Sus scrofa: one gene and its partner. The protein of the gene in region 2 purifies or fractionates together with the protein of the main gene of each other region. This does not show direct contact. Links are inferred from orthologs where the notes say so. Each region holds a gene or a part of one and is shown on either strand. Other genes may lie near its edges.

What was found. The genes of interacting proteins can lie anywhere in the genome.
Region 1: the proteins of MPP5 (region 2) and PATJ purify together in Homo sapiens (co-immunoprecipitation; 5 studies listed by BioGRID and IntAct, counting the BioPlex papers as one, with this or other methods). This does not show direct contact. The link is inferred for Sus scrofa from reciprocal best matches to the Homo sapiens genes PALS1 and PATJ.

Annotation. Positions count from the first base shown.
Region 1 is NC_010448.4:150,588,431-150,592,082, reverse strand, and holds part of PATJ (inaD-like protein), read left to right. Parts: intron 1-133; 5' UTR 134-171; coding exon 172-193; intron 194-295; coding exon 296-462; intron 463-2,889; coding exon 2,890-3,084; intron 3,085-3,652.
Region 2 is NC_010449.5:91,010,932-91,014,583, forward strand, and holds part of MPP5 (MAGUK p55 subfamily member 5), read left to right. Parts: intron 1-885; coding exon 886-963; intron 964-1,503; coding exon 1,504-1,650; intron 1,651-3,325; coding exon 3,326-3,487; intron 3,488-3,652. UniProt on the Homo sapiens protein: Plays a role in tight junction biogenesis and in the establishment of cell polarity in epithelial cells.

The sequences.
Region 1 (3,652 bases), on a different chromosome or scaffold from region 2:
TGGTTTGATTTGAATTTCCTGAGTAAAGTCTTCTGATGGAGAATGTTCTTAAGGTTTTCTGTAATTTTATTATAGGATGATAGGCTTATACACTAATGAAAAATCATGTTTTGTATTCAATTTTTTTCTTTAGGTGTTTTCAGTTTAAGTGATTGGAGGCAATAATTCAAAATGCCTGAAAATCCTGCTACAGGTATACTAGACATATCCTCCTATCACTAAATTAATTCATTATTCAAAAATGGAAGTTAAAATGGGATTTAACCTATACTCTGATTATCTTTCTTCACACAAGATAAACTGCAGGTCCTGCAAGTTCTCGATCGCTTGAAAATGAAACTGCAGGAGAAAGGTGACACTTCGCAGAATGAGAAGTTGTCTCTGTTTTATGAGACACTAAAGAGCCCTCTCTTCAACCAGATACTCACACTCCAGCAGTCCATCAAGCAGCTGAAGGGGCAAGTAAGTTACCCTCAGGGTTTTATATGTTGATACACTCAAAGCAGCAAAGAAAGATAGAAGGAGATAGATACAAATTGTCTCTACTCTCAATTCAGCAAAGAGATTATTAGGACTTGTAACCTGTGGGTAGCATTGGCATGGGTAGTTTAAAAATGCTGATAAATGTTTAAAAACGTTGATAATAAATTTTATGTTTGGCTTTGGAATATGGTTTCTTAAGTAAAGGTCAGGTACATAGAGATCTCAACATTTTCTTCAAAATAATAAAATAGTGTTTAGCTTAAATATATTTTCTTCAGGAAATCTTTTTTCTAGCATGAAGTGATCATGTCCTTATAGGACATTACATATTTATACCTTTGAATAATTATCAAATATTTATCTAATAAATATCAGATGCCATGCATGTTGTGATTAGAAAGCCCCTGATAGCGGTGTACCCAGTGTTTCCCTATTTTTCGGTTTCCCCCACTACCTGGGCTCTTGCAGCCACTAATACATGGTTGCTGAATTTTGGGACACCTAACACCTCTGTTTGGAATGATGTAAATTAAGAGTTTTAACTGTCCTCTTGTTGACGGTCTTTTGGGGTCAGGGATGGCAGAATCAGAGCTTGAATAGTAGCTATCCTATAGGTTAAATATGGGCAGAATTTTATTTGTTTATTTCTGTTATTATTACTTTTTGCTTTTTAGGGCCGTACCTGTGGCATATGTAGATTCCTAGGCTAGGGGTTGAATCAGAGCTACAGCTGCTGGCCTACGCCATAGCAATGCCAGATCCAAGCCACGTCTGTGACCTACACCATAGCTCACGGCAGCATCAGATCCTTAACTCACTAAGCGAGGCCAGGGATTGAACCCGCAACCTCATGGTTCCTAGTCGGATTCGTCTCTGCTGTGCCATGACGGGAACTCCTGGGCATGAATTTTCAATGCAATTGAAGATGATGTAGCAGAGTTGTTAAATGAAAATTAACAAAGTTTGGGAAAAAGTGCTATTTTCTGATAAACCAAAATGCCTATCCATAAATATTTAGCAAGTGATTTTTATGTAGCTAATTAAGGATTGAATTCTGCACATATGTCTTTCTGTGAATTTCTTTCTCTAATTTTAGCACTCCCTGTATTGAAGTTTCATTTTCTTTATTCTCTGATCATAGAATGAGTACATCACAACAGTGGATGCTATGGCAATAGAAAGTGAGAAAGAGCACTATAAATCTACCCCTCTTACTGGACTCAGAGTGGACCTAACTAACTACTGCCTCATAACAATCTCTTATATAGTTTGCATTGTTATATACATAATCATATTTTATCCATTCAGCTATAAAATCCCCATGATTTTTTCCTATCAGTGCCCTATCATGGAGTTTCTCTGTGTGTTGATTTTTTTCTTTGAGGTGCTATTGACATTTTTTTTTTTTTTTTTTTTTGGCGAGGACATTGTCCCTTCCTTCCTTCCAAGGCTGCACCTGTGGCATATGGAAGTTCCCTGGGCTAGGGGTCAAATTAGAGCTGCAGCTGCCACCCTTTAACCCAGCCACAGCAATACTGGATCTGAGCCGCATCTGTGACCTACGCTACAAGCTCACGGCAACGACCGATCCTTTAACCCACTGAGCAAGGCCAGGGATCGAACCTACATTCTCATGGATACTAGTTGGGTTCTTAACCCATGGAGCCACAATGGGAACTCCTTGACATTTGTTCTTGATGTTAATCTTTATTTCATTGTGTTGGCACTTGTATCAGCCAAAGATATTTTAAAAATTAACCTCTATTTTCCTCTTTGCATAATTACTGGATTCCACCACCCTACCTCACCCCTGCCTTAGGAGTGTTTAAGTGGCTCTACAACTCATTTGCTACTAATCTTAGGCAAGTTACTAATCCCCATGTGCCTCAATTTTCATGTTCACAAAATGAAATAGGAACATCTCCTAGGGCTGATGTAAGCATTGAGTGAGACAATGTACGAGTTTTGGTTTAGTACTTTGTTCATAGCAAGCACTTAATAAATACTGAGTTATTTTTGTTACATACCACCTGCAGATCTCTTGTGACTCCCCAGTGGAAATATATAGATAAATGCAAAAGGGCTCAGTGTCTTACATGCATCTTTATATGACTGGATGTATCTGTATGTGAAGTATAATGAGCTGTCGAATACGCTGTTAACTTGAGGTAATGGTAAAAGGCAGGAAACAACAAATTTTAAGCTATTAAACGTTTTGTGTAATACTAAATAAAAAATTTATAGCCTTATAAACACAGATTCATGGATCTGTATCTTATTTCTTTCACATGTATATATTTAGCATGCAATTATACATGTGATGTACAAAATATAGTATTTAATAAATAGAATTTTTTTTGTCTATAGGTTTCTGTTGATAATTCTCTTTTTTTTTCCCCCCAACAGCTCAGCCATATTCCCTCAGATTGTACAGCCAACTTTGATTTTTCTAGGAAAGGGTTATTGGTATTCACGGATGGTGCCAGTACTAGTGGGAATGCCCACAGGTCCACTAATAACCAGAGTGTATCTGGGTTATTTCCTTGGACCACAAAGTTGGGAAATGAAGATTTTAGCTCTATCATGCAACAGATGGCCCAGGTAAAGTTATATCTTGTCATGGGAATATTTAGTTTTATTTCTCCTATTATAGGTTGGAAAAGAAACCTCCACTCTCTCTTTTTGCCTTTAAAATGTGTTGCTCTTTGTTTTGTCAGCTTGTGTGTTTATATTCTTAGGAGAAATTGATACTATTTTTTAACCCATGTGTTGGAAATTTGTTCATTTCAAATTACATAAGGAAAATATCCCTGTGTGTGGTGAGCAAAGTTTTTAAGACAGTGACTCCAATTTGACACATCTATATACTTGTAGGGAAAGAGATTCTAATAGTTTTGCTCATAGGAAAATTACTATGTCTACCAGAAGTATTGTAATTCTTTTGAAAGTATTTTATTTTATTTTTTTTTGTCTTTTTGCCTTGTCTAGGGCTGCTTCCCATGACATATGGAGGTTTCCAGGCTAGGGGTCTAATCAGAGCTGTAGCCGCAGGCCTATGCCGGAACCACAGCAATACAGGATCCGAGCCGCATCTGCAACCTACACACCTACACCGCGGCTCACGGCAACACCGGATCCTTAACCCACTGAGCAAGGCCAGGGATCGTAC
Region 2 (3,652 bases):
TGTGCTAAGCAGTTTATGTGGATTATGTCAGTCTTAAGAACCTTCTGTGGCAGGTGAGAAAGAACCATTCTATAGGTGAAGAAGCATGGGCTTAAAAAAAATTCATTATAATCAAGTGGAGTTTATCCTAGGAATGCAAGAATTGCTTGACTTCAGGAAATGTTTTAATTTGATGCACTATAGTATGGTGGCTGTTCATTACTCTGATATAAATTTATCTTGTTGGTCTGTAACTCTTTAAAATGTTACCTCTGATTTAAAATATAGTTACATAAATATGATTTAAAAACTATAAAATAGCAACATAACCATTAGAACAGTCTTTCCCTTATGTAATCATTGTTAGTCTGTTTTGTAGTATGTTTGCAGAAATCATCAAGAAGGAAATACCTCATTCATAGGAATAAATAAAGAATGCTATTGTCAACCATGGTAACAAGATTGAAAACTGTGAGAAAGAAATACATTTTTTAGGAGTTCCCATTGTGGCGTAGCAGAAACGAATCTGACTAGGAACCATGAGGTTTCAGGTTCAATCCCTAGCCTCGCTCCATGGTTAAGAATGCAGCGTTGCTGTGAGCTGTGGTGTAGGTTGCAGATGCGGCTCAGATCTGGTGTGGCTGTGGTGTAGGCCAGCAGCTGTACCTTCAATTAGATCCCTTGCCTGGGAACCTCCATATGCCTCAAGTGTGGCCCTAAAAAGCCAAAAAAAAAAAAAACCCAACCTTTTTTTAAAAAATTATAATTCTCTTTAGTGTTTTTCTTTCTTACAAGTAGTTTTTAGGATTTTAAATTGTACCTTAAAAAAAAAACAAACAAAAAAAACCTATGTAGATGCTGGTGATAATTTCTCTTAACCTAGGAAGAATCATCTTTGTTCCTTAGGTACAAACTGTTTTGAAGCCAGTCCACCAGAAGGAAGGACAAGAATTAACTGCTTTGCTGAATGCACCGCATATTCAGGTAGACAATGGACAAAGAATTATATATGTAGTTTTTCCAGCATTTTAAACTCAGTTCAAATCAAAGTCTCTTGGGCTGAAAGAGACCTCAGATATTAAGTAGCCTGTTTTGTCTTCAACTCCCATCACATAATAATTATTGTTGGATTATGTTTTTTTCAAATTTAAAATTAACCACATAATTTTTGAAACAACTTTTTATTCTTTACAAATTCCTCCCTTTTTTGGTTATATTGTCCATAAATTTTATCTCTGATGTTGGACCCCAAGGTGATTTTGTTTTTATGAAGTTTAATAATCATTTTAGATTTTCGTAACTTATCTCAAAGTATTCCCTATTGTACTTAACACATCTTTAGTTATTATTAGCCATAAAAGATACAGGGTTGTACTTGACTTGGAAAGTTTGGGAACAGATCTGAATATATAATTAGCACTTCTTTTAAAGGTTTGATGAGCAGGATACTATTACATGATTAGTTTGAAATTTTGTACAGAAATCATGCTGTTACTTTAAATGCTGTGGGTTTCTTTGAAACAGGCACTTTTACTGGCCCATGATAAGGTTGCTGAGCAGGAAATGCAGCTAGAGCCCATTGCAGATGAGAGAGTTTATGAAAGCATTGGCCAGTATGGAGGAGAAACTGTAAAAATAGTTCGTATAGAAAAGGCTCGAGATATTCCGTTGGTAAGTGTTCCACATCTCTGATATGAGATCCTTTCCACGGGTCTACACAAGGATCTTGGTGTATGTCAGATATTGAAGACCCTTGACATTTCTGGTAGTTTTTTCCTTTTGAGGCTAATTTGTTGGAATTCTTTTGTGTTCTTGCTCAAACTCCTTATTCAGCTGAGAAAAATTTGTTCATCTTTTCTCACCCATAATTTGATGCAAATAATAGCTTGTGCAGTGATTGTTGAACAAAGAAAGCGCAGATAATCTGCTTCATTATTCTCTCAGCTTAAAAAACAAAAGACAACAGTTGGAGATTCTGATCTTTTCATTCAGTGCAATTACTTACATACTTCACATAGATTTAGTATGCTTTGTCTAATGTTAATATTTTATATTTTTTGTATATAAAACTTTTTTTCTCTTAGTCTACTATCATTGCCTTTTCTTTTATTTTCAGAAAAATATTCTTGAATCCTAAGGTCTCAAATTGTCTTGTGGTACATGAAATAGGGACTGTATTCTATTAAAGGGCAGTTTATGTAACTAGGTTTTTTTCCCCACGAGAAGAAAGAAATTGGGGAAATTATGACAAAATTTTAAAATAAAATTTAGGAAAAAAGTGTTAGAAACTACTTTCAAGCTTTATTCTGTATTTCATATTTCCATTTTTTGAGGGTGTAAATTTCAATTTTACTTCCAACTTGTGTAATAAATGTTAATGTTTAATACTTTTTTTTTTTTTTTTTTTTGTCTTTTTGCTATTTCTTGGGCCGCTCCCGCGGCATATGGAGGTTCCCAGGCTAGGGGTCCAATCGGAGCTGTAGCCACTGGCCTACCCCAGAGCCACAGCAACGCAGGATCCGAGCCGCGTCTGCGACCTACCCCACAGCTCACGGCAACGCCGGATCGTTAACCCACTGAGCAAGGGCAGGGACCAAACCCGCAACCTCATGGTTCCTAGTCGGATTCGTTAATCACTGCGCCACGACGGGAACTCCTAATACATTTTAATGTGAATTGGAGACAGCTATAATATTTAACATTTTGATAATTAACCAGTATTCATCGCTTCATCATATATTGAATTTAAAAAGACTTACAAGTCATGTTAACTAATTATATAACCATTGGAATAGCATCCAGCATATAGAGAACAAATTTGATTATAGGCTTTCACATTGTTTTTGAGCAAGTGCATTTTTATACTGTTGTATGCTTGAAAAGCCTGATTTTAGAATTTTAATGAGTAGAACACTTCTGAAGCAGAAAATGTGGGGGAAACAATCAGCTTTCAATTGCTGTAACTACTTTAGCTGTGTAAATAAATTTTTTCTTGCTTGGCATATGCACACTGAGGTATATGGAATGATTGGCTAACAGAGACCTGCTGTGTAGCACAGAAAACTCTACGTAGTATTCTGTGATAAACTATGTGGGAGAAGAACCTGAAAGAGAATAGAGGTGTTTACATGTATAACTGAATCTACTTTGTTGTACAGCAGAAATTATCACAACATTGTAATCAACTATACTTCAATAAAACTTTTAACAGTAAAAAATAATTTTTTTTCTCATGATAACTGAAGGCTAGTATTGTTGAATTGAAAAAAATAAGAATTTTAAAATGAGGAAATGTTTAACCAAAACATCGCATTTTTATTTTAAAATTGGATATTGAATTTTTTAGGGTGCTACAGTTCGTAATGAAATGGATTCTGTCATCATTAGTCGGATAGTTAAAGGAGGTGCTGCAGAGAAAAGTGGCCTGTTGCATGAAGGAGATGAAGTTCTAGAGATTAATGGCATTGAAATTCGGGGGAAAGACGTCAATGAGGTTTTTGACTTACTGGTAAGCTGACGTGGGTAGAAGAATAATTGATAGGTTCTCAAAAGCTGTTTTCTTTGTTATTAGACTTCAGAATAAAATATTTTCAGAGCACTTAAAAATAACTGTTAATATCTCTATATGGGAGTCTCCTGGTGGCTCAGCATGTTAAGGATCTGGTATTATCAC